Caenorhabditis elegans: one gene and its partners. The protein of the gene in region 2 purifies or fractionates together with the protein of the main gene of each other region. This does not show direct contact. Each region holds a gene or a part of one and is shown on either strand. Other genes may lie near its edges. The genes, in order: mix-1, hcp-6, capg-2 and smc-4.

Evidence for each region.
Region 1: the proteins of hcp-6 (region 2) and mix-1 purify together in Caenorhabditis elegans (affinity purification with western blotting; 2 studies listed by BioGRID). This does not show direct contact.
Region 3: the proteins of hcp-6 (region 2) and capg-2 purify together in Caenorhabditis elegans (affinity purification with western blotting, with the first as the bait; one study listed by BioGRID). This does not show direct contact.
Region 4: the proteins of hcp-6 (region 2) and smc-4 purify together in Caenorhabditis elegans (affinity purification with western blotting; 3 studies listed by BioGRID, with this or other methods). This does not show direct contact.

The regions. Positions count from the first base shown.
Region 1 is NC_003280.10:10,822,439-10,827,250, forward strand, and holds the start of mix-1 (Mitotic chromosome and X-chromosome-associated protein mix-1), read left to right. Parts: upstream 1-1,807; 5' UTR 1,808-1,945; coding exon 1,946-2,039; intron 2,040-2,125; coding exon 2,126-2,209; intron 2,210-2,368; coding exon 2,369-3,300; intron 3,301-3,351; coding exon 3,352-3,503; intron 3,504-3,963; coding exon 3,964-4,069; intron 4,070-4,118; coding exon 4,119-4,258; intron 4,259-4,812. Other genes in the region: R06F6.12 (uncharacterized protein), read right to left, coding at 23-397, 571-677, 730-818, 864-1,306, 1,352-1,529, 1,580-1,641. UniProt on the Caenorhabditis elegans protein: Essential protein required for both chromosome condensation and segregation and X-chromosome dosage compensation depending on its binding partners.
Region 2 is NC_003279.8:5,163,187-5,171,166, forward strand, and holds the start of hcp-6 (Condensin-2 complex subunit hcp-6), read left to right. Parts: upstream 1-1,961; 5' UTR 1,962-1,970; coding exon 1,971-2,154; intron 2,155-2,203; coding exon 2,204-2,448; intron 2,449-2,498; coding exon 2,499-2,957; intron 2,958-3,014; coding exon 3,015-3,188; intron 3,189-3,236; coding exon 3,237-4,270; intron 4,271-4,315; coding exon 4,316-4,409; intron 4,410-4,460; coding exon 4,461-4,938; intron 4,939-4,980; coding exon 4,981-6,053; intron 6,054-6,104; coding exon 6,105-7,056; intron 7,057-7,386; coding exon 7,387-7,473; intron 7,474-7,574; coding exon 7,575-7,918; intron 7,919-7,962; coding exon 7,963-7,980. Other genes in the region: let-630 (Small ribosomal subunit protein mS39), read right to left, coding at 1-25, 74-1,369, 1,414-1,551, 1,597-1,695. UniProt on the Caenorhabditis elegans protein: Chromosomal protein which is recruited to mitotic chromosomes by hcp-3 (CENP-A) and hcp-4 (CENP-C).
Region 3 is NC_003283.11:12,269,953-12,276,167, reverse strand, and holds capg-2 (CAP-G condensin subunit), read right to left. Parts: upstream 4,296-6,215; 5' UTR 4,285-4,295; coding exon 3,980-4,284; intron 3,934-3,979; coding exon 3,223-3,933; intron 3,180-3,222; coding exon 2,798-3,179; intron 2,725-2,797; coding exon 2,260-2,724; intron 2,216-2,259; coding exon 1,788-2,215; intron 1,402-1,787; coding exon 660-1,401; 3' UTR 544-659; downstream 1-543. Other genes in the region: bnc-1 (Basonuclin zinc finger protein homolog), read left to right, coding at 214-543; tsfm-1 (Elongation factor Ts, mitochondrial), read left to right, coding at 4,619-4,702, 4,761-4,906, 4,988-5,415, 5,462-5,754.
Region 4 is NC_003281.10:4,585,619-4,593,516, reverse strand, and holds smc-4 (Structural maintenance of chromosomes protein 4), read right to left. Parts: upstream 6,017-7,898; 5' UTR 6,012-6,016; coding exon 5,862-6,011; intron 5,809-5,861; coding exon 5,743-5,808; intron 5,699-5,742; coding exon 5,384-5,698; intron 5,336-5,383; coding exon 5,162-5,335; intron 5,121-5,161; coding exon 4,828-5,120; intron 4,782-4,827; coding exon 4,037-4,781; intron 3,989-4,036; coding exon 3,731-3,988; intron 3,686-3,730; coding exon 3,251-3,685; intron 3,202-3,250; coding exon 2,994-3,201; intron 2,945-2,993; coding exon 2,439-2,944; intron 2,391-2,438; coding exon 1,872-2,390; intron 1,819-1,871; coding exon 1,595-1,818; intron 1,551-1,594; coding exon 1,012-1,550; intron 963-1,011; coding exon 871-962; intron 823-870; coding exon 697-822; 3' UTR 393-696; downstream 1-392. Other genes in the region: erh-2 (Enhancer of rudimentary homolog 2), read right to left, coding at 16-140, 185-284; F35G12.7 (Divalent-cation tolerance protein CutA), read left to right, coding at 6,282-6,358, 6,403-6,462, 6,511-6,598, 6,643-6,765; F35G12.5 (SPK domain-containing protein), read right to left, coding at 7,043-7,165, 7,213-7,308, 7,354-7,476, 7,527-7,652, 7,703-7,838, 7,886-7,898. UniProt on the Caenorhabditis elegans protein: Central component of the condensin I complex, a complex required for conversion of interphase chromatin into mitotic-like condense chromosomes. The condensin I complex introduces positive supercoils into relaxed DNA in the presence of type I topoisomerases.

The DNA of each region.
Region 1 (4,812 bases), on a different chromosome or scaffold from region 2:
TTTCGAGTAAAAATGAAGAATATCAACTGCTTTGCTCATCAAGAACTATAATCTTCTCACGAGTACATGAATCACAAGCTGGTAGCCGAATAACAATGTACGATGGCTCCTTCTGGTAGACCTTCTTATCACAAATCGGGCAACAAAAGTTCGGAGTATGTACTAGATGTGGTCCGTCGACGACAGGAGCCAACTGATACGACTTTTTCAGAACTGGAGGGCACAGATCATCGTTGGCTGATCGCTTTTGAGCAGCATTTCGAACTGAAGCCATATCCGTCCTCCGGAGCAAGACGGGCGGAGCAACTTGTTGATACTCGTGATCACTTCGGTCTCGCTGGGGTACGAGCATCTGGTCGATGGTGGCGTACGCGAATTCTCCATTCATTAATTGGATCTGAAATTTCAAAGCTTTAAAAAATATACTTTATAGAAGTTTTATGAGCATTTTTCTTCGTTTTTTCTAGAAAAGCTCTGTTTTGATCCAAAAGTTGAAAATAATTACATTTTATCGGATCAAAACAGAGCTTATCTTGCCTAATTAAACAGAAAAAGTAAAGAGTTTCTCACCTTGTACTCCGAATCGCCTCGAACATATTTGACAACCGCATCTTGAAGACGACCATCAGCTGTCCGAATTTGAACGGTTTCTCCAATTATTGGGCTTCTTGTAGATTCTAAAATAATTTGGATAATTAAAATTAGTTCAAATAAGCTTCTGAAACTCACTTCCAGCTTCCAACTGTTCATGATGATGATGGTGATAACTTGTTGATGGAGCCTGATCGTTGTATGCAGAATCTTGAGCTTTTTCTTTTCTAAAAATAATAAAAATATAGTTAAAATTCTACGTGTTGACCTACATGGGCGGTAGAGCAAGTTGCACAAGTTGATGGACATTTTCAGTGCTTAAATTGTTTAAATCAATGTTCAAATTGGCGATTTCGGAGGGGGAAACATAGAATTGCTTCTGTTTTGATGTAATATTGACTCCACCATCATTTGTCAGAATAATATGCATTGCATTATCGATTATCTGACCATTCCCATCATATTCTTCCTCCGGCCCATTTCCATCACCTTCAAATTGATTTTCAATCATTTCGTGATGAACCATGTGATGATGTGAACCATCTTCTATGACAACTTCTTCATTGTGCTCTTGCTCGTTTTGTTTCGCCTGTCGTTGTTGACTAATCGCCACCACAATGTTCAGCTGCTCTTCGGTGAGATGATTAAGCTCAAAGCCTGCTTCTACATCGAAACCCGCTTCGTACATGTCTTCCTGCGTGATTTGAACCATATTCTGAAATATAAATATTCTTTCAATTCATCGAAAAGCTTGAAATACCATAAACTGTTGATCACCATCCTCCACAATCATATCTCCTTGTTCAAGATCTTCCGGCTGCTGCTGCTGCTGCTCAACAATTTCTTCTTCATGCTTAGCACTTTCAACTCGAAGTGGGGCCTGATCCTCGTGGAAAATATGATCTTCATCGGCAGGATATACACCTTCTGGGGAGGATCTGGAAATTCCATTTATTAATTTGAAAGAAAATGTGATTTTTATTCTTACCCAGGAATTTCTTCTTCACGGCCTGTTGTTGGGCTAGCAGGATTTTCTTTTTCGGAATCCATATCTGCAACGATTTTCGTTGTTTAATAAAAATTAAAAAATAAAAATTAATAAATGACTCTAAATTATAGCGAAGGAGAAAAAACAAAGGAGAAAAAAATTACAAAAATCACAAGGCAACTTTTGCGCGTCAAATCTCATACATTCCAGTCCGCAAACACTCTCACGCCACTCTGCACACTTCTCAAAAGACGCGCCAAAAAACATTCAAAGCTCATTCGGCTTTCGAAATAAACATTTTCTCAAACTCGTTATCGACTTATAACTTATTTTTGTTCAAAATCAATTCGACAGGGTGCGCTCATAATGCACATTAAATCCATCCATCTGGATGGCTTTAAATCGTACCAAAAGCACACCGATATTCTCGATTTTTCGCCGACTTTCAACGCAATCACCGGTGAGTATAGTTTTGTGCTGAAAACTAATAGTTTGAAAAACTTTAATTTCAGCATAAAATATAGTATAATAATTGTTTTATTTCAGGATACAATGGTAGTGGAAAATCCAATATTCTCGATTCGATCTGCTTCATTATGGGAATCAATAAGCTCGATAATATCAGAGCAAGTATGTGGCTCTTTCTCATCACAAAATTATTTTGTTGTCATAGTGATACTTACGCGCTTTCGGACTGAAAAAGCACAAGATCAGAGTAGCATAATATTTCTAGCAAAGATTTTTTAAATTGAAATTTAGAAAAAAAAATTAAGTCAAATATCATTCCAGAATCAATGCACGAGCTGATTTCCCATGGTGGAACAAAAGCGATCGTCCAAGTTCGCTTCGACAACACTGATAAAAGATGCTCCCCGTTCGGAATGGAACATCTCGACGAGATCGTCGTTCAGAGAATCATCACAGCTCAAGCAACTGGAAAAGGATGTGCAACGAGTTACACACTGAATGGGCATGCGGCCACAAATGGAAAAATGCAAGATTTCTTCCGTGGCGTCGGTTTGAACGTGAATAATCCACATTTTCTCATCATGCAAGGTCGTATTACTACGGTGCTAAACATGAAGCCGGAGGAAATCCTCGGAATGGTTGAGGAAGCAGCTGGAACAAAGATGTATGATCAGAAGAAGAAAGACGCGGAGAAAACAATGTTTTTAAAAGATGCAAAACTCAAAGAAGTTGATAGAATCTTCCAATCAAGTATTGATCCGAGAATGGTAAAGTTCCGTGAAGACAGAAAGAATATGGTGGAAGTGACTCGTCTCAAGAAACTCAAAGAGAACTTTTCCCGAAAATACGAGGCGTTTCAATACTTTCAAACATGTGAAGCGGTGAAAAAAAGTGCAAAAGAGATTGAAGATGCCAAAAAGGGAATTGAAGATCTCGGTGAAAAGTTTAATCAGCTTGATCTTGACTTGAAGAATAAGGAAGATGAGAAGAAAAAGATGGAAGAATCTCGAGATGATCAACATGAAGAGGCTGCACTTTCAGCGGCTCATCTTTCGAAACAATCTATAATGCTTCAGAAGGAGACTGTCAAAAATCAATTGGTTGAAACAATCAATAAACTCAAAAAGGAAGGTGAACAAATCAACAAAAGCTTGTCAAAAGATCGTGAAGTTCTCGACGCAAAACGAAAAGAACACGAAGATTCAAAGGCGGCTAACTCGAAAGATATTCAAAGTCAATCTGATGATGAAGCTGTAAGTTCGAGAAATTATTCTAAAAATAAAGTTAAAAAAAAACAATTTCAGCTCGTCACAAAATACCGTAATGACCTCGAATCCCTAACGAGAGGAACAATTGCTAATGACAAAGGAGAACATGTGTCGATTGAGAGTGAAATACAGTCTTGCAAGTCGACTGCGTCTCAAATGTCATCTGGGATTACTGCTGCGAAGAAACGGTAACTTTCCTGAGAATTGGAACAAAAAATCTAATTTTGTTTATGTCGATAAGAATAATGACAAAAATTTTGAGATATTTTAAGAAAAATCGAAAAACAAAAAGTTTCGTTTTTTCGCTTTTTGAAAACGTCAATGATAGTTTTTTTGCGGATACTTTCAATGAAATTATTCTGTCGTTTTCTCTTCAGTTTTCTGTTTAAAAAATTTTAAACCAGTTTTATACTATTTTTACATTGAAAACTGGTTTTAAACAATTTTTAAACAGAAAAATTAACATAAAACGATAAAAAATTGACTACAAACGATGTAATTTCATTGAAAAATTGCAAAAATTGAAAGAAAACACAACATCGAAAAAATAATGCATTAATTTGGAAATTCAGTAAATTTAATGGGACAAAAGAAGAAATGTACTTTTTTAAATAGGAATATCATTGAAAAATTGGCAATTTATTTCAGCGGTGAACGTCTACACAACCAAATTAAACATTTGGAAGGCGAAAAAGCTACTCTCTCAGCCAGAAGTAAATCTGACATTGGAAGTGCCGATAATTATCAAAAAGAGGTATCAGATATTTCAATTTTTTTTTCTCCGAAAACTTAAAAATATTCAGGTCGATGAGATCAATAAGCAACTTCAATTATTGGGTTTCAATATAGATGCTGATACGGAGAAACGAGAACACGCTGCAAAATTGCATGAGAGCATCACTAAGCTCAAGGATATGGATACGAGACTTCTGAATTCATACAAGTAAGGTTTTGTGTGAAAATTCATTTTAAAAGAGTTATACCGTTTCAAAATTTAAAAAAAAAAACCTATTTTCATAATAAAACCCGAATTTTGTCAATTTTTCAGTATCGCAGCGAGCGGAACTTGGTTTTTATTCAATTATCGCCTTTTTATTGCATATTTAAATATGAAAAAAAAAAAACATATATTTTTGTAGTATATTATGCGTTTTTTTTTCGTGAATTCAGGTGCATTTTCTGCACATTTTTGGTGAAATCGACCGAAAAGCCATCAACATTAACGAAAAAACGTGCAATAAAGAGTGATAATTTACTACGAACCAAGTTCCGGCCGTTATGACACTGAAAAGTTGGTAAAATTCGAGATATTAGCTTTAAAAAATAGTTTTCTTTCGGAATTTTGAGAAAACTTTTTTTAATTTTAAAACAGTTGTTTTTCAAAAATTAATGCTTTTTTTCAGCTAAAATTTCAAATTTCGCGAATTTTTTTTCGAGAGTTTCGGCATAATCAACTGAAAAAGCACCAAAATTTAGGAAAATTGCGTGATAAACTAT
Region 2 (7,980 bases):
GCTCCCGTTCACTAGTTCCCAATGTCTGAAAAAAACTTGTAAAAAACACAAGATATTTGGAAATAAAACTTACATGTAGTTGTACATTACACAACTGTTTGCGCATTTCTTCTCCAATAACTCCATTCATCTGTCCAGCTGCAATACCGTCGATGATTACTCTCCGTAACAGTGGCCAATGACGATCGGAGGATGCAGCGAGTTTTCGAAAAACTAGTGATGACAGATAATTGTTGACTCCAACAAGTCGTGGTACCATGGTGGTGTACAAATCATAAATTCTGTTCAGTGAAGCACTTTGTTCCACAGCCAATTGTAATTGTCTATTATAGAACATTGATTCAATTGTGAATGCTGGCATCTTTACTTCGTTTGCTTTGGATTCATAAATTGAAACAAGATTTTCTGCGAGGTTCTCATTTGCAGCTCTGTAATGGATTCCCATTGCTTCGACGAAGAAAAGATTACAAGTGGATGTAATCGGCTTGAGAGTTTTTCCAGTAAGGCTATTCTGAATTTCATTGAGCCAAGATATAGCCACGGTGAGCTGGTGATTATAGGTCTTCTTTTGCTCGTCACTCTCTCGTTTTTCATTATCCAATAATTTAAAATCTATGATGTTTTTGATAATTAAATGAAAAGATGACAGTGCTGGTTCAACTCCAATCTCTTTCATTTCTCCAATAATTTCAGTGAACGCCTTCACACGATCTTCAAACTTTCCAGCTTTTGCAGCAGACGACAGTAATGCATTGAACGTGAAAATATCGGGTGTCATTCTGAGGGAAATCATTTCAGCTACCAATTTCTTCCCGACACTGTAGCTTGAAGCGCCAATTAATCCATTGAACGCTTCTCGGTAAACTTTTCCTTTTGCAGCTCGATGCTCCTTGTACAATTCTCTAGCTCTTTCCAAACTAGAATGATCAGAAAACTTGCATAGACCAGCAATCATTATAGAAACGGTTTCATCAGTTTTTGGGAGAGTTTCGAAAAGAAGATCAGCGACTGCACCCGATTTCCATGAGGATGTAGAATCTTCTCCAAAATTGCGCATTCCAACAAACTCCTCCCATTCTGCGAAAGGTACGTTTGACGAATTGTAATAGGTTACAAGACGGAATAGTTCCAGCTGGACTTTCTCGCTAACGTCAACGTTCTCTGATCGCATGCGTTCATACAAAATACACGAGTCTTTTACTTCTCGACTTGAAATCATTTTAAGCAGGTTATTCTCTGTCGGTTCAACTTGAAGGGGATCTGCTAGATGTCGAGGACGGAAAACCGGGAGCTGAGGTTGATCTCTGTCAAAAGCGAAGAGGGTTGGCCATTCTGTAGCTAGTTCTCGTGCAGCTCTTTTGCCAAACTCCTAAAATTATCAAACTTATTCTAATATTCCGGCAAAAATTTTACCTTCGCCATAAAATAGGTCTTTTTCGTTGACTGCGTGGAAGGAATGGTAATTGGATCGTCAATGTAGGCAAAATGTGGAGCAGTTGTGTCCGGGCCAACGGTTTCTGACAAGGCATTTAACAAATCTGTTGGAGATCTCTGGAAATATAGAAGTTCAAGTATGAATTTTTAAAAATAGTCAACCTCGATTGCTGGCTGTATTGTCAATTTTTGAGATAATGCAGGCTCAACCGACGATAAACTGCGAGTTATAACTCTGCCAAGTCCCATGCGGCCGATCATTGCCTAAAAAATATTAAGTTAAGCAAAGAAAGATGAAAAACACTCAAAACGTAAAAAGCCTAAGTAAGAACCAAAAAAAAAAATCGGGTGTTAAAATGTTTTGTCCGCAGTATTGCGCGCCGTGTTTGCACCATGGCCTAGAAACACAATGGCCGTGGCCTAAAAATCTCAACGCGGTAAATTCAAACAGAGATCCTAATTTTTTTTCCTAAATATTTATTTTTAACGTTTTAAATTACCCTTATTGAAATGATTCATTTTTTATTTTAGATTCAATGTCGAATATCAACGAAAAAGATTTATCGGAGTTTCTTGAGTCAAATCTCCGGTCTCTCAACGATATTGACGATGCCGTTGCAACTTCTTCAGCAGAATGCAATTATGAAGATTATGAAGAATTCACAAATTCTGTTGACCTGACTTTTTTCGAGCAAGATCTGAGTGGAGTTCTGAAAGAGCGTATGTTGAGAATTTTGTTAGCTTCACTATTCAAAATTGTTATTTTCAGTAAAGAAACTTGCCGAAAGCGTTGTAATCTCGGGAAAGAAATGCGATATTCGGAATATTTTTGAAGAAAGTGATGTGGCGACAATGAAGTTTAATCTATTCGTCTGGTATTTTCTCGAAAACGGACAGAGATCTGACAGTTCGGAAGAGGATGTTGATAAAGGAGTTTCTGCTGCCAGTAGTTATATTGCTATGTGCTCATTGCCTGGAGCAATCTCAGATCTTTATCAAATTGGTTTATACAATGTAAGTATACGGGTTTATTACATGTCATATAATCAATGTTATTTTTTCAGCAATGTCTGAAAATTATTCGAAACTGTTGTCATACAGTTAGGATAGGAGAGACTGTCGTTACAAAAAAATCAAGTGGAGCAAAGAAAAAGAAAGCGGGTGGAAAGTCAGACGAAACAAATGTGGATGGAGAAATGACTGTAACAACGGGAGCAGCAGATCCTATAATTGGTCCCCCTCGAATTGCTGTCGATTCGGCTGAGCGATACCTGCATCATCTCACAACCCAGTTATTTGCTTTTCTGCATAGCAACACCTTCAGTATTGATACACCAACACTCATGAGCACACTAGAAGTCGTGGAAGACATCGGCCGTTTAGATCTTGACAATCGAACCGCAGGAAGAGCGATTCGAGCGAATTCAGTCCACGAGTTCCGATCGTTGGAGCGATTTACGGATCGATACTGTGCATTTGTGCATTCTTTAGTAGAAAGCAAGTATAAAACAAGAGCAGAAGTGGTGGGATTAAAATTAAAAAAATTACAAAACAAATTAATAAGGTTAGTACAAATTTAGGCTTACGGAAGACTTATTCGCCCTCGCCTTGCGCTGATGCCATATCCAGATGAAAGCAATAAATCTTCAAAGATTTCAACGGAGAGAAAGAGATCTGGTGAATTACATGTCAATTTAATTCTATCACGAATTTCAAGAAATCCCGAAGCAAGAGAGTTGAAGTATATTCAGACAGTGAGCAGTTTCTTCGAAATATTTTATTAACTTATTTTTAAATTTTAGGTTACTGTGATGGTGTATTCACAATGTCCAGATCTAGCCGAGTTTCGAACAAATATCGCCACGTTTATCCACAAGATTCTCGAAGCTCTTCCATACACATATACCTATGATTTTGTCCAGTTCATGAATGTCTTGTTCAAAGGCCGCGGAGCCGGAGTAAAATCCTTGTCTACAGAGCTCTCGAGTATTCTCATCAGCAGTTTTGACTTCACCGCACCTGACCCAGGAGCTATTCCAAACTTGGACGCAGAGCAGAATGAAGAAGAGGATGAGGAGGAGGAAGGGGAAGATGAAGAAGAGGAGGAAGAAAACGAGCAGGATGATGTTGCAGTCAAAGAGGAAGAACAGTCGGATAAATCAGACGAAGAGAATGATGGCGATAACGAGGAGAATGTTTCTAAAAAGAAAGAAGAGAAGAAGAAAGAAAAGAAGGCGAAGGAAGTTAAAGAAGTTGGTCGAATGGATGCAATGTCTGTTCTGTATAACATCGTTTACATGGCTTGTTTGGATAAAGCTGCAGCTATGCGACTTCACGGAGCCAATAGTTTGACGAAAATCCTTCAGTCTCAATCGCATCGAGAAGCTTTCCAATTGTTCTGCGCAACAATAAATGCGGAAATGGATGAAAAGTTCGGCGCAGTGGGCGACAACCTGAGTGAAAGTCTTGAAGATTTAAATGTTTCTGGTAAAGCACCAAGTAGTAAAACAAAAAAGCCAACGGATCTACTTCTCGACGAGCAGCAAATCATTCAAAAGTTCAATAAGTTGAAACTGATGAACAAGGGAGAGACACGCGTTGAAAAGGATATAGTTTATATGATCGTGCGCCGACTATCAACTGACGACAAGGCTCCGGTCAAGAAGGCTGCGTGCTCGCTTCTCAAATCATATCTATCATATTGCGACGAAGCATCGAAATTTGAAGTTGTGCTTTCAATTCTTCAAATGTTATGTCGAGACAGAATGGTTTCAGTCAGAAAAACTGGAGCCGATGCGTTTACAGAACTTATGTTACGAGATGCAATCCTTTTCAAGTAATTGTAATCTTTGACGAAATTTAAAACAAATTTTATTTTCAGAGAAAGTCTCAGTTCAAAATGGCTTCACACCTTGATCTCGATGCTGAATGATACAGATAATGACGTCACTGAACATGCCAGAAAGTTGATTATGGTATGGGCTTAATTATTTATAATAGAAGCTTAATTTGTTTCCAATTTCCAGAAAGTTCTCACTCCCTTACTCGAAAACTCATCGGATCTCACATGGACGCTGTTAGATACAATTGAATCTGTCACCAATCACCGTCAATACCTCATGAGCACATTGAAAGATGCAGTTCGTGAAAAACTCGTCAAGCGCACAGTAATGGATTCGATGAAGCAGCACATTATTAGTGGCAGTGAGAAACTGGATGGCGCATGGATGGTGTTCTCGCAGTTGTGTGTTCAGTTTGAACAGAACGTTGATTTTGCGATTGAGACGTTCAGCAGAGTTGACTTGTCTCGAGAATCAAATCTCGTGCAATACATGATCCACGTCATTGAGAACAATATCAAGAAAATCGATGACGATACAAAATCAGATCTTGTGAACACTTTGCAAGGAACTTTTCGTGATTATTGCCTGCATCCATCTCATTCTAGAAGTATCTACCATTGTCTCGGAAAGTTAATGGACGGAATTGGTGATAGATCTCTTCGTACGTCTTTCTTTTAAATGTTAATTCAATTTTTATTTTCAGATGGAAAAGAGTTCAGCGATTTCGGAGAGACTCTTCTCATTAAATGTTTCGATACGATCGTGCAATCGTTTGAGATGTTCAAAGACAAAGATGAATGGAAACGAAATTCCGAAAGTCAAGAAAGGCTTCTATGTACAGCTCTCAACGTGGCATCTGAAGTATTTTCCTATTCACCACAACTTGTTCCGCGACATGAACGACTCGGAAAAACGCTTTCGCTGATTGTGAATTCCACGGAAAACGGTTCTTCTGATGCGTCGACAGTTAATCCAGATATGCCTTCTGTTCATCATACACGACCACCAACTCAGTTATCCGAAGTTCCATCATCACAGAAGTCTTCCAAGGGTGGTATGATGTCCCATGAAGGTGCCATGTTCAGTGATAAAGTCCGTGCAGTTGGAGTCGTCACCTTGGCGAATATGATTTTGGCGCACGATCGTCTATTGAAACTGATGCCGATGCTTGTGAAACAGCTTCAATACAATACAGCTCATCAAATTCGGTCTAATATCGTACTAGCCATTGGTGATATTTGTTCATCCTACAAAACAGATCGATATGCGCCAATGCTCGCTGCATCGTTGTGTGATCCTTCAGTTATTGTTCGTCGACACGCCATCAATCAGATTGCTCGACTAATCTCGTTTGGTATTTTTCGGTTTAATGGAGAAATCATGATCCGTATGATGTTAGCTTCTCTTGACGCCAATGAAGATGTTCGGAATGACGCAAAACTTTACATTAGTGAGGTTCTCCAATCTGAAGAGCCCAACTTCTTCCCTCTCAACTTTGTACAGTACATGATTGCACTTACGCAAGCTCGACGATTGGTTGGAGTTGGTCACGATGAAGATGACAGAGGACAAGTTGATGTTGCTATTGGAGGTGGTGATCCATTGGCTAGACCATCCAGAATTGCCATCTACACGTTCATGATTGATTCTTTGGATGATCGTTCCCGATTTGATGTGAAAATGAGCATTTGTCAGCGTATCTTTACTCCGATTGTCAATGGAGAGTACGATTTCAGCGATTACAATGTTCAATGCCTACTTGACGATGCTCTTTTGGTAACTAAATAATACAAATGTTACAATTTTATCTTAATTTTCGCATTACAGATAATGGCTTCAAACGAAATGCAAGTGAAAATGGACGTCGGGAAGAATCCTAATGAAAATGCGATGGATGATCCATCTCCCGAAGTTTTGGAAGCTGCAACCGGCTTCATGCAAAAAGTATATCTGGATCACTACATGAAAACCATCGTACCTTCTATCCTATCTCTTCGTGAATTTCTCAATCAACATCGCTCGCCGCTCCAAAGAAAGTGTCTTCTCGCGATTCGAATGATATGTATTGAACACAAGAACGATATAGACGAAATACTTCAAGACAATCGTCAATTGAAGGACGAGATGATGTTTGAATTGCAAAGAGTTAAACAGAGAACAGAGGAGGCGAATAGAATTCTCGACGAGTATTTGAAGAGAGTCGCTGAGTTTAAAAAGCAGCAGAAGAGACTTTCGAAATCGCCGGCGCCAATGGAACTCGATGCTGAGCCAGTTCAAGAGAGTGCTGAAGCTGTTGAGATGGGGTCACCTGCTAGAAGAATCGAGGAAGATCAAGAAAACGTGGAAGAAGAAGTAGAAATGAGAACTCCACAGAAGAAGAACCCGGATGCTGATGTGCCCAGAACTCCATTAAATGCTCTCCGAAGTACCACAGAAGAGAAGTCTACTCCGAATGCGAGACTATTGTCACCAAAAACTATTAAAAAGATTCGTCGCTCTCTGGGAGCACTTATTCACACTGAAATGCGCCTTAATCCTCCAAATTTGGAAGAAACCAAGATAGATGATACGACGATAAACCGTTCTAAACAGGCCGACAAGACAGAAGAGAAGACCATTGTAGAGGAGGAACCAATGGAAGAGGCAGCCGCCGAGAAAACTGTGACAGCCGAAAATGATCATGTTGATGCGGAGAAAACTGTGATAGCTGTTGAAATACCTCCAGCTACAGAAGCTGAAGAGGACGAGGTGGTCGATGTGCAATCGGAATCTAGAAGATGTATGTATATGGTTGAGCGGAAATTTGGATGAAAGGGAACTTAGCTTAGATAAATCTAATAAATTAGATTTTTTTTGCACAAGAAAAATTCTTTCGAAACTGGAGAAATAATTTTGGTTTTAATTTTTTGGTTGTTGCAAAATCTGATAATTTTGGGCATTTGTGAACTAGATACAATTCCGAGTGTTATTTTTCGACAGAAAATTATATTAATTTGTTAGTTAACGACAGGCTTTTCGCTCACTTTTGATTGAAAAAAACTACAATGCATAATCGTCGAAAACAATAAACAATACTAAAAAAAACGTCTGAATTCAAAAATTATTCCAGCTCGTCGTAGAAAAACGCCAAATTACGATGATGAAGAGTCTGTGGATGCTGATGGAAAAATATGGAAGAAGCCGAAAATTGTCAACAGTAAGTTATTTTTCCTGATTTCATTGTTCAATTTGCTGTATTTTATTGACCACGCTTTCACACAAGAAAAAATGTGTTTTAAATAATTTATTTTCTTGAAGAATCCCCGGAAAAGGAAGTCAATATTTCGGCCAACGTCACTTTGCGTCGTAGTCGTCGGGGTCAGTCAACAGAGCCACCAGTCGTGAAAGAGAATTCTAATCGAAAACGGAAATCTGTTGACGAGGAAGAGGAAAATGTGCCAACAAGTTCATCTGGTAACACTGAAAATGATCCACTGTCACGCGGAGTGACTCCGTTGATTTTCGATGAAAGTAAGCTTGGTGCAGGACGTCATTGTTCAACTCCGATTCGATCACGAGAAGACGCAGATCCAAGCGATGTCACATTCTCCCTTAATTTGTCGGCTATTACCGAAAAGGAAGACTTGAAAAACAGAAGTAAGGTATTCACAATTTCTTGAATTTACAAAACGCCTTAATTTTACAGAAAGTCAAGCTTATCACC
Region 3 (6,215 bases), on a different chromosome or scaffold from region 2:
ACGGGATGGGTTACTGTATCTCTAAAAGCCATAATTTGAGATCTTGGCAGGACCCACTCAGAAAACCATCATGTGCCTTTAAACCAAAGTGTCGAATTTTCACGAAATTACTCATAAAAAATTTTGGAATTTTTTACGGTTATATTCGGAATTCTGTAATTCAGAGAGAAACTACTACAGACACTAATTAACCGCTAAAACCTAAATTTTCAGACGTCGACACTTCTAAAACTGAAACGTCGTGTTGCCTGTGACATCTGTTCGAAATCATTTTGTGACAAGGGAGCACTCAAAATCCATACATCAGCAGTACATCTTCGCGAAATGCATACATGCACCGTAACGGGTTGCGGGAAACAATTTAGCAGCCGAAGAAGCCGTAACCGTCATAGTTCGAACAACAACCCAAAATTGCACATGCCCGAGTCACTAACCTTAACTGGTTCAGGACTTTCCATGAAGACTAGTTTGGATACATTTTGGCCGACCCGGTTTCTTCTTGGAAAAGATCATCCGCTGGATTTATCATTGAATCTTGTTTAAAACATTGTTAATAACTAAAACAGGAAAATACTTTTACAAAGAAAAAACAATAAAGCAGAAAAATATAGAACGTCAATGAGATCAAATAAAAGAATTATATATAGAGATTAATAGGGTTAGAGTCTGTTCTCATCTGGAAGTTGGACATCAAGAAGAGAAGAAAGACTGTTCAAAATGTGATGGGCTACAGTATTCAGATCTGAGGCATTCGCGAAGCAATCCAGCACTCTTGTAGTGCATTTGTCGATGGCTTCTTTGATTAGCTTTCCATGGAATTTTGAATATCGTTCGAGAATTCGTAGAAGTTGTGACAGTGCTGCTAGTTTAGACAGTTTTTCATCAGTTTTCAGTTCACCTTCTTCTGCCGTAAAATACTTGCTGTCTTCGGGAATATAATTGGTTGATATTTCTTCAATAATGTCTTCAGTTAGCGATTTTTCTTTGAGAATGAACTTGATTAGTGCAAGAGAAATGAAGTGTGGTGGTTTATAATCTTCATCGCGTGGATCATCATATGCCTCGTCGTCATTTTTCGAAGAAGCTGATACAATTGAGAATAACATAAAGTGATGCATCATACGTTTAGCTGAATCTTCGTCCCAATAATCAGTTTCAGAAACTCTCTTGTGAAATTGGCGTAAAGATTCCACAATTTCTCGATGATTTTTAAAAATGTTCTCTTCATCATCTTCCATCAAATCACATTGCTTATTCATCCATTTTGGAATAAATCTGAGAAGAAGTGCCATTTCGTGGTGCACTTCAGAATAAGATTCGTCGCACAGCGTTGTGCCCACTCGAAGAGCTGGTCGGAAGATTTCAAAAGGTGTGGAACTATTACAGAAGGACTTGACGATTCTGAAAAATAAAAATGATATATGACGTCTTATAAGACATTTAGAATAACTTCACTGTTATTCTATCAAGAAATGAAAACCTGTGGTTAAATACCGAGTAGCGACAGTGGGCATATCGTCTAAATACACCGAAGATTTTTAAGTTCTTCAAAATTTTTAGTTCAAGAGAAACCCATTTTTTGGCTTCCATAATTATTAAATAGTGAAAAGGATATTAATGAAGATTTAAGACAATCTTATTTAAAAAAAAATTTTTTTATGATATTCGACCATTTTTGTATGGGAATCGTTGTTAGCAATTTTCCACTGGCGTTGCTCCATATTTAAATCCCTTTCTTAATAAATATATTTCATTTCTAAAGAATTAAGTCTTTCGTATGACCCTACCTGCTTATAACTTCTGCTACCGTAGCCTGATCTTTCGCTGCATCATTTTCTTCTCTTGGATCCCGATTCTCGTTATCTTCCTCATCTTCAAATTCGACAGGTCTCGTTTTGAAATCATACGCAGATAGTGACACGTTTACACAATTCAAGAATGTACTTGTTAATTGAATGAGAAAATCTTGATTGTGTTCACCAAAAGTCGCCATTTGACTTGAAATATTTTTTTCAAACCAAAGAAGAAGGTTTTTCATTGACTCGATAGTTTGGTTACGATCCGCAGCATCTTCAGATCCATTAGTTGCAGCGAAAAAGGGCAAAATGAATCTAAATTCGAGTATCGACAGAAGAACATCATCACTGAGAGTGTGCTCCTGGCCTTCTTCTTTTGCAAGCCTAATTTCAATTCCTTCTCGAATTAGATCAATTTTCTAAATATAATATTATTGTTTCAATAATGAACTAATACACAAACCTTCAACAAATCCAAGACTTTAGTTCGGTATTCATCTTTCATTGCAATAAGATTTGATGTACTGTGACTCTGTAGCAAATATTTGAGACGGTTCAACGTCATAATCAGTACATCTTCTGGATCCTCCAATTCACGTCGTTTCTTCTTACTCTGTTTCGTTCCATACAAATTTACAAGAACATTAAGCCCACTATCGAATGAATCAAAAACAGAATCCGGGTTGAAATGAATTGCAGATTCAAGAAACGGCTCAACTGCTTCTGGAGGAACATCGTCGTCTTCCAGTCTTGCGAGAACATCATTAGCAATTGATTTAAGGTAATCTTTAGGAATGACACTGCTGATTGCTGTCGCAGTTCCGAGAATAGGAGTGTTGGCGTATTTTTCAAATATTTCCTTGACAACTTTTCCAAATATTTGATCACATTTCGCTTTTGAAGTTCCATCGCCATCTGACATCAGCATCTGAAAAAGTTTAGAAGTTTATAATGTTTTAAAAAAGGTCTTCAATTTTAAATTTGAGAAATAGAAAACTAACTCCTTTGCATGACATGTACAGAATGAGAGCACACTCAAGATAAGCTCTCGCTTTTTTGTATCCTTCGGCAGTCTCTGGTAATGGAGGGCCATCCTTTTTACGAAGATAACGATATGCCCAGGTTATAAACATTTCGATAAGTTTGGATGCTTGGGATGCATCAATGATTTTCATTGGGCCAAGCAATCGGAAGTAACTCAAAAGAGCCAATCGACTTTTTCCTAACATGTAGTTGACACGAGGACGATAGTATGCTTCATCCAGACTTTTCGAGATAGGAAGACAAATATGCATAATTGGAATCAGTTGACGGCGGCAGGTCTCTACGTTTTCCAGATCGAGTTTCGCAATGGCATCATCTCGAGTAATGATATCGAACACACTGAAAATTTATTTTTTAGTTTGTTGATTTGGGTTCATTTTACCTAATAAATTTATGATTCTTCAGACGAGAAATTATTTGGTAAGCAGCAAGACGAACTCGTTCAGATTTATCCTGTAGTGCTGGATCAACGGCACATTTCAATCCATATTCGAATGCTGTGAGACATGCCGGAACAAATGCCATTTCATTAAGACCTTCAAAAACGGCGACGCGGACGCTGACAACAGTGTCTTTCGCGACTGTATCAATGATGTATCCCATGAGTTCCTTCACGATATTTTTTGGAATAAGAAGCCAGAATTCGCTGATTGCCTTCAAGACATGTTTCGTGGCTTCGCTTCGAATGGAAATAACATCACTACGTAATAAGTCCATCATATATCGATGTTGGTTTTCCATTATCCTATCCATGTCTTCAGTATCCTCGCCAATTAGTGGGTAAAAATTGAAAAATACTTCTGCAGCTGATGACTGTACAATGTAATTTGGAGCGTCCAGCGCTCGGTAAAGACATCCATTGAGAAGCCTTGTCACCATTTCATCTACACTTTTGTCCAGTTTTTTCGCGTGTGCAAATGCGGCAATCACATTTTGAAATTTAGTGCAGGTAGGCCTGTGAGCATATAATGCATGCTGACACATGACACTGATCACATCGGTCTCCAATTCCTCTGTCAAATCAAAGTTAGCCTCCTGATATGCATTTCTCCAAGCTGTGACGAATACTTCACCATACCTTTGACATTCAGTGCTGCAAAAATATATATAAATGGAATTCTTCAGCGTATAAACTTTACTCGGTGAGATTGAACTTTAGTATTAACTTCTCGAGTAGTATCAGTCCATTTCCAACACCAATTTTTGGGAGAATTTCAGCTGATAATTTTATACCTTCCGGACAAATCAACAAGGCTGGTGCGAAGAAAATACACCGAAGAGTCGATGGATTTGCATTGGCAATAATATCTTCTTGAACTGCCCACAATTTTCTGATGAATGTTTTCTGAAGAGCCCGACCTCCTTTTCCACGGAACTCTGTGAGTAACTCATTCCAGTCTTCTGATGGTTGTTTGTTAGGTGTTACCGGATTGCTCTTCGGCATTGATCTCTTTACTGAAAATTTCTATGGAATTATAGAATTTATTTCAACAAAAAAATAGCAAAAAATAATAGTATTAAAGTTTTCACCTAAAAATAATTATAAATAATCAATAAAATAATTCAATAATATAATTTACCTCGCAATTAAAAAAAAAGAAACACATTTTCCTTGTTATGTTCAAAACGAATTCTTTCGCGCGGCCGTCTTTCTCATTGGGGCGCACTTGCCTTTTCATTTTTTAATGCAAAAAATGCCCAGAAAATTGCATAATTTGCTTTATTCTCTTAAAATAATTATCAATATTGACTGAAAACTAAAGTTTCCAATTTTAGAAATGTTTGCTAGAGCTCCATTTGTACGTCTACTATCAACGACTAGTCGAAACTTGGCTGAGGCCGAAAAGAAAGTCTCTAAAGAGGTATTAAAATCTAGGAACCCTAATTAATTTTAAAAAATAAAAAATAATTGTTTTTCAGGCTCTAATGGCTCTTCGAAAAAAGACTGGTTATAGTTATGTGAATTGTCGTAAAGCACTTATTCAGTTTGGCGAAAATGATATGGATAGTGCTGTAAAATGGTTGAAAGAAGCTGCAGCGAAGGAAGGATGGGCCAAAGCGGCAAAGTAAGTGTTTATTTTGAAATTTTTTTAATTTGGAATGTTGACTTCACAAGGAATTATTTTAATAGTTATAGAATATTCCAGACTTGGAACTCGTGTAACATCGAATGGTCTTGTATCTGTAGTCACGGACAACTCAACAGCAGCTGTGGTAGAACTCAGTTGTGAAACTGATTTTGTGGCGCGATCTGGAGCTTTCAAGGATTTGTTGTCAAACATCTCCAACTCTGTTCTCGCAAAAGCTAAGCCACAATCTATATCGAGCGGCTCAAAACTTCAAGAATTCACCTATGATCTTGGGGATCTGACCGATTCCGACGGAAAAAATATGCGTGAAGTGCTCTCCCTTTCAATCGGAAAGCTTGGTGAGAACATGACAGTGAGAAGAGTTAAGGCTTTTAAAGCTCCCGAAGGAACAACTTTGTTTGGAGCTTCACATCCTAAAGATGGAACTGATGATATCCCGATGGGACGGTTCATTTCACTCATCGCTCTAAATCAATCGAGTCCAGGTGAAACAAAGAAATAAAGTAAAAAATTAAGTCTTAACATTTACAGGGTCAATCAGTAGTCAGCAACTTGCCGGACAGATATGCCAGCACATTATCGGAATGTCCCCGGAATCCCTCGGCGAAGCTGCAGAATCTGTGAAAACTCAAGAAGGGCTTCGTAGTCAAGAAGGGCATGATCCAAATGCTGATCCAGTTGTTGTAACTAATATTGATGAATCGGAAACTGCTCTTCTCCGCCAAGCCTTCATGTTGAATCCATCTCAATCTGTTCATGAGTACCTAAAATCCCACAATGCTAACATTCTCGATTTTGTTCGTGTAGAGCTTGGAAGCGAATAATTAGATAAAAGTGGTAGTAACTTTATTTTCATGCCTTATTAGTTTTTAGAATGCTTTTGTTTCTCTGTTTTGTTAATCGATAAATAAATTTATCGACATATAAATTGAATTTAAAGTTTAAAAAATAAACATTTGCAATTTTCAGAACATTCCTCCGTGGAAAACAATTGAACAAGAAGACGATTAAAATGCATTTATTTTATTTCAGAAATTCATGGTCACTCGGATTTCTGTCGAAATCAAATGTATTTTAAGGTCACAATCCGCGAAAATTTAAAACAATTGTTGTAATATAGTAAAAATACGAGAAAACTGCTGAGAACACTCAGAAAACATATATATTTTTGGGGTACTGTATTGGTACTGTAGGAGTAATTGGTGATGTAGGTGTACTGTAGTATCACTGAGCTCTTTGTTGAAACATGCGATATTGTTCTAAATTGTATCGTTCTTAGATTTGG
Region 4 (7,898 bases), on a different chromosome or scaffold from region 2:
ATCAATAATACATACGCGATTGAAGATCATCATAGAAACATCGGAGAGCTTATCGAGAAACTCGTAGACTTGCGACACGTCGTATGTGACTGGAGCAGCTGATTTCTTGGAAAGGAAATCTTCAAACATCTTGCAAAGAGCTGAAAAATTCCATTAAACATAATAATTCTCACGGAATGGTTACCATCAAGAGCGTCAGTTACACTCTCATAATCTCCCCAAGTCCGTGAATCAAGACGTGGTGATGTTTGAATCAGAAGTACGGTATGTGAAGAAGTAGACATATCTGAAATTACATGCATAACACGAGTTACAGTGAAAATCCACAAAATAAATAGTGAAAATGGAAATCTGAATCAGATTAACCATGAGGGATATACTAGTCAACGCTTCACCGATAAACGTTCTTATTTCAAACGAAAAGACACATAGCTCAATTATATCATTAAATTACAGTTTGGAGCCGAAAAAAAAATACAACGCAAAATGGCTCAAACTTTGGCCCTCAAATTAAATATAATTGAGAATAAGAATAAATAAAAAGGAAAAGGGAGAGATTTCTTGAACAGGGAGAGGTTAAAGAATTGCACATGAGTATCATTTGCGCGAGTTTAAAATAATAATAAACGGAAGAGTCGAGGGATCAGAGAACTAATACCCGTCAAAACAAAAGAGGATAGAACTTTTTTGAATGAATTATTCCATATCATCATCGTCATCAACGATTGCCTTCTCCTTCTTTTTACTCGACGGTGTCAACGGTTTCATTGGAGATCGTTTTGGTGTACTTGCGGAATTTGAACGCTTTGAAGGTGGAGTAGTCTGAAAATGGGAAATAAAATGAGTCTCAAATTTTTTAATGAAACTAACCTCATCGGCCTCTATGTTTCGTGCCTTTCTCGGGCTACGAACATTCTGTGACGACGATCTTTCGACAAGGCGTGGAGCAGGATATTTCATTTCTAAAAATAAGTTGTTTCATTTTCATAATAAATACGCCATTGGTCTTACGATTTATACGAGATTCGGGTCGACTTGCTGACCGACTAGCCGGTCTTTCAGTTCCATCGCCACTTGTCGTTGCTTTGGATTGTGGTCTTGAAGTGACATCTCGGGTAGTTTGAATCAATTCTTTCCTGACACGTCCTTCAACGTTAACAATCTTTTCGGCCTTTGAAATCTCATTTGATGATGGGAAGTTCGGATATTGTTTTTCTTGTGCAATCATTTCCTTATTCTGCCGACTCATTGTCTCATTGAATCGTTGAGTTACTTCATCAGGAAGAGTACACGTGGCCTGCCCCAAACTGTCCGTAATTTGCTTCGCCATCTCACAAACTCTCAATGGATCAATGGCTACATTACGAGTACACCCATCAACTTTATAGATACCAACGAGACGATTGGCGAGTTCAAACATATTATTTCTCAAAGAAATAATAATAAACTGCGCGTTTTCAGTCTTTTGTCGGACGTATTGGGCAATAATCGAAACGTTACGATAGTCGAGAGCAGCATCGATTTCGTCCATAACGTAGAATGGAGTAGGTCTAAACGAGGGATTATAATAATTATTAAAGAAAGTATTTAGTACCTGAACATGTGGAGCGCAAAAATGAGAGCCAATGAGGACAATGTCTTCTCTCCACCCGAAAGGAATTGAATTTGCTTCCAAGCTTTCTTCGCTGGGCGAACCATAAAACTGATTCCTTGTCGGAATGGATCGTCTTTATCAATGTATTCCAATTTGGCATCTCCTCCGTCAGTTAGCATTTTGAAAACGGCAACCAAATGTTTTCCAATGAATTCGAATGCAGACTGAAATATTTTTTAAAAATTAATCAGAAACCTATCAACGTCTGATTTCTTACATGGAATTCTTCAAGTCGCATCTGCTTGATTCGTTGAAGTTCTTGATTATGTTTTCGATGTACTTCTGTGGCTATTGTCAACTTGATCACTTGTTCATTGTATTGCTTGACCTTATCAACATAAGCTTTAATCGATGAGATATCAACTTTAGCTTTCAATGCTTCCACTTGTTGTTCACACACTTTCAGCTTCATTTGCATTTCTTCAGCGTCTCGGCTCGAAATCTCGTTGATTTTCTCGTCGGACAGAAGCTCGACCGGTACCCGGTCCTCTCCGTCGACATTCTCATACGATTCAGTGTTTTCCAACACTTTCTGTCGCATTTCGAACTCGAGAGCGTACGCGGCGTCACTCATCACGCAGGCCATATGCTTCTTTTGTCGTTCAACTTCTTCTGGACTCTGATTTTCATCAACCACCGGCATTTTATCATCGATTTGCATTTCGAGATCTTCTGGCCGACTTGATTCGATGAGAAATTGGAATCGTGGGATTCGATTAACTTTCAAAGCAGCGAGCTGTAAAAAAAGAACATTTAATTTAATAGATTTTTATTAATAACAAACCTTCTTTTCAATATCCTCAACCTTTAATCGATCTGCCAACATACTTTCCTTCAACTCCTTTATTCCCTCACTGCACTTTTTCAATTCTCCCTCCAATTTCGTCTCTGCAGCTGACAATTCCGATTGTTTCTTCGTCATTTCCTCTCCTTTTGTCTGTAACTTCTTGATTTGCTTTTCAAAGCGCTCAACCGTTTCTTTCTTCGATTTCACTTCCTCATCATCGATTGCTTTCTCCATCAATTCTTCGCACTTTTTCTTCATCTTCTCAATGTCTTTATCGTGTCTGGAAATGTTCTCATCGCACTTTGCAATGTTTCTGCCCGAATTGGAAATATTTGCAGTTTCTTTGGCGATATCCTTCTCAAGTTTTTGACGTTTCTGAAGAGACTCTTTGGCTTCGTCTCGATGACATTGTACAAGTTCCTTGAAGATTCCGTCAAGCTTACTCTGAATTTCAGCTTGACGAGCTTTTACTTTCGCAGCTTCTTCGCCCAACTCATCTCGTTCTGAAATGAAATATATTACCCAAATCATGATGATATGACGGAAAATTACTTTTTTCGAGCTCCTCAACAATCTTCTGTTTATCTTCTAATGTCTTCGCATCCACCTTAACTTTCGCTGCTTCTTTTTCTTGATTTGCGATCGTTTTCTTGAGGGTTTCAATTGCTGGAGCTGCAGATTGAACTGAAGAAGTCACAATAGACAAACGATTACTCATTTCAGCGACTTTGCGACGTGCTTCGATTAGCTGTCCGTCCATCTAAAAATCGGTTTGTTATATTTTATATTTTTATCCTTTAATATCTTACTTCATGCTCTTGTCCTTTAAGTTCATCAGCTTCATCTCTCAATTTTCCAAGTTTTTCAGCTAAATCTCGTTCAGCGGCTTTATCTTCAGGTGTCACTTGTTTAGCCATCTTATTTTTATCCGTGAGAATGAGACCTTTCACTGTTTTTCCACCTCCTGTGAATGATCCAGATGGGTGAATCATAGAACCTTCTAGTGTGCACACGGTAACACCACGACAAGCGGGCATTCTATGCATTCGCTGAGCTTCCTGGGTAGAATCGCCCACAATTGCACTACGCACCATATCATAGAATGCTGGTTTAAGAACAGGATCACAATCAATCAGATCAATAAGACGAGGAGCAGGTAATGGGTTCGTCGGATTGGGAGCTAAATCTCTCTTATCACACTTAATTTTGTCCAATGGCTGAACAGTTTGTCGAGGTAATTTATTCTGAAAACCAATGTATTCCTAGAAAATGAGGGTTATAAAACTTACAGCAACTAAAAAATTGATGACATTTTTTGCATCTTCTTCTTTCCCTACAATAAGATAGTTGAGACGGGCCCCGAAATTTGTGCAAATCGCTCCCTCATATTTCGGATCAATGACACCGAGATCACCAAGACGACCGTGAAAACTTTTAATTCTTCCAGCTTCTTTTTCCTTCATTAAGGCTTGAATAACTTTATTCGAACTTGAGCAAGACGAGTTTTGCTGGCGAAGAGTTTCGAGACGATCACGCGTTTTTGCCAACTGTAAAATAGGATTTATTTAAATTTATCAGGCTTTTTGAAAACCTACATCTTGATTCTTCTGTCTTGCCGTATTTCGAAGAGTTGGCAATTCTGTACTCAGTTGTTTTAACTTATCATTCCAAGAATCAAATTCCGGCTTCAGCTTATCTAACTCATCCTTCTCTTTCGCATAACTTTCTTCTGAAGATTCTAATCGTTTCTTCAGTTCGATAAGCTTATCCGTTCCAGAATTCGCGAGCTTCTTTAAATCCTCGAAATCTTCCCGTGCAATCCTTGCTTCACCTCGAACTTTGTTAAATTCGTTGCTCTTCTGCGCCCAAGTCTCTTGAATCTTCTTTTGTTCTTCTTTTGGCGCTTCAGAGCGTTTTTCAAATTCATCAAGATTCTTGTCGGCTTCCTCGTTAGCTGTTTTCTCTATTTCAAGCAACTGTTCCACTTCTTCCTGACATTTTGCGATTTTTCTCTCCGCCTTTTCGGGTGCTGCTTCCAGATTTGATCGCTTTTTAACCTCTTTTTCCTTCTCAGCTTCCGCCTTTGAAATATTAGCTTGATGCCTTTTCAAAGCCTCCTTCCTGCGAGTCTCTTCAGTGCCCAAGTCGCTCAATTCCTTAGATAGACTATCAAAGTTTTTGTCGAGTTTCGAACGCTCTTCAATCATAACTTTCTGAGCTTCCTCAGATTGTTTGTATTCGTTTTTGTTGGTATCCAGCGTTTCAGCAATCGATTTCATTTCTTCTTTCATCTTGTCAAGTTCGGCTTGTTTTGGAGCAATTTTATCTAGGTATCGTTGCCTTAAAACGTTAAATGTTATTTTAACCTGGAATATTTCAGAACTACCGTCTTCTTTGCTCCAATTTCATATGAATCGTTGTAGCCTCGTTTTCTTTCATCAGAAACTCAATTGCAGCTCTAACTGGATTCTCCATAGCTACTTTGCTGTTTCTGGCGTGATCACGAGCGATTCTTTGTTGAGAAAGATCACAAGTAAGACGATTGACGCGTCGCTGGAATAATTTAACAAAGGGCTCGAGTCGGTTTGTTCCGATAATATCCTCCAAATATTCAACCATTCCAGTTTCACTTTTGGTGGTTTTCACTGGTTTCATCATTGCAATTTGTTCGACTTCTCCCTGAAAAAAATGTTTATTACCGGTTTTATTGTCACTTTTACCTGAAGAATTAGAAAACGATTATGCTCAATATCAATGTCAACGCGTCGTAGGCGTGCTTCAACTTCATTCTTCGTTGCCGGTCGACCATCGATAGCATATGAGCTTGAGTTATTTTGAAAAGCAGTTCTAGAGATTGTGAACTCAGAATCCTTGACGACTTCGTAATGCCCAGGCTGAAAAAAAGCAAATTTATATTTTATTAGATTCTCTGATTCACTTACAATATCGACGATCCGCTGAAAATGAATAGTGACTGTGCATTTGTCTGGATTTCTTCCAGCACTTTTGTGAATCAAATTTGACACTTTTGCAGAACGAATTTTGGAAGCACGGAAACCGAAAACGAATAAGAGCGAATCGATTAAATTAGACTTTCCAGATCCATTTGGACCGATAATTGATGTGAAACTTTTGTGAAATGGTCCAATGGAAGCCTTGCCGAAGTAACTCTTGAAATTGTCCACTTCAACATTGCGAATCATCAAACGATCCGCCCGATTCGGTTTTGTAAGGAAATCGGGTCGCGATGGCAGTTGCTGTAAAATGTAATGACTTTAATATTAAAAACAGAGTAACATACCAATGAGAAAAGATCACTGTCGTCGTCCTCTCCGTCGCTTCCATCAAATTTTTCATTTACCGCTCTCTGAATAAAAATTTCAGTTTTATTGCTGCTTTTAAATATTCTGAGAGGGATACCTGTAGTTCTTCTTCCGGGTCCTTTGATCCTTCCTTGTGTCGGTTCACAGGCTTCGTTGTCTTTTTCTGCGGCTTTTTAACAGGAGCGTCATCAAAATCAGAATCAGATTCGTCTGATTGTGGCGGCGCCGCCGAAGTCTTCGGAGGCATCAACCCTAAAATACGTTGATTTTTAGGATTTGAGTGCTTAATATGAAAAAGACATTTCCCAACAAAAACAAAAAGTGGGACAGCAGCGGCTAAACAATTATTGGCGGTGAAATTCGAACAAAATTTTGGCGCGCATACAAGTGTGTGCAAACACCGTGACGCGCAAGTGCGACCCATACATTTAATTATACGACGAGAGCTAGAATGAAGTACGGTAATTAATTAAACATTTCTGAATTGCTTCAACATAAAATAAGTTTTCAAATAAAAATGACAACACCCGCTGTAAAAATGGTTGTCGCGTATGTGACAGCTCCGAGTAAGGAAGTTGCAATGACTGTGGCAAGGTATTTTTTTGTTTTCTGTCTACCAAAACATAATTTCATTTCAGAACAACTGTCACTGAAGCATTAGCCGCTTGCGCCAATGTTATTCCGGAAGTCACATCTGTGTAAGTATTTTATCTTTTTTAAATCTGTGCGAGAATCCAGATATTCAGATACAAATGGCAAGGAAAAATTGAAGAAGATCAAGAGCATGTCGTGATCTTGAAAACTGTAGAAAGCAAAGTCGAAGAGCTATCAGCTGTATGTTTTTATTTCGGATCACTAAGATTTTCATTCAATTTCAGCGTGTTCGATCTCTTCATCCGGCTGAAACTCCGTGCTTCTTCACACTGGCCATTGACAAAATAACTCCCGATTTTGGAGGATGGATTGTGGATTCTACGAATTCTTCAACTGCGAAACATTGAAACTTAAAACTTTATTCATATTTATTTCTACCAACTAAACATTAAATCAACGGGAACTGATAAATACATACAAACAGATTTGGCTAAGGAAAAAAACATCGTAATAAGAAAAAATGCTCCGAAAATTTGAAGATTCCAAAATAACGATTTGAGCATGCTTTTTTGGGGATTGTCTTGAAAGCTTCAAATTTTTTTTTCGAGCGATTCTGATGTGATTTAATGAATTTTTTTCAAAGAGATCGAGTTGAACGGGAAAGACAGGGCTATCATTAACTAGCTAGCGAGCATCACTTCGAACTCCAACAGCTTTGTCTACAATGTTAAGCGAGAAGACCATCGGGACAGCAATCTTGTATGCATGGCGTTTGTATGTATGATAATCATATTCCGTCCAAAATAACTGAAAAACATTGAAATGTTTTCTCATATATGTTCAATCATTCTTACTTTTTGCTCCTGAATAATTATCTCAAAGATCCTATCCATGCTTTTCTTTTCGTTATTGTATTGTGTCTCCCATCCCGGAAAGTCTTCACACATGAACTGAAAATTCGAAGTTGAAAAGAAATCCACTAAAAAAACTCTCACTTTGTGGATGCTGTATGTAGATTCTGAAGCGGACTTTGAACTAACATATTGATAGATCATAGAAAACTCACAGTCTCCAATTTCATGGAAACCGAGAAATTTAATTACTTGGTTGACCTTCACCTTAAAAATATTGATTTACTTTCTTGACCAATCAAAATATAATAGCTTACTCTGTTCATATTCTCAGAATCCGAGGGCATTATCAAGTTGAACTTCACGTAAAGGCTCTCTTCATTCAACAGCGACAAGAGTGTAAATGAATGATGGTTCTGTATCCAGGACCTTGGGATCACTTTCTAAACGTACTAAATTTCTCCCTTGTTTAACAATAAGATTAAATTATTACCTGAACCTCTTCCTCAAAATCAGTGTAATTAAACCCATCTGGATTTTTCTGATCAAGTTTCTGCAGCACGTACATGGTTTGCGGAAAAAATCTCAAATTTTTTGCCCACCAAATTTCAGCGAGTCGTCTTGCTTCCCTACAGAAAACCGAATAATAAAATGCATAAGGTGCTTGATAAAATACTTTTTCAAACTAG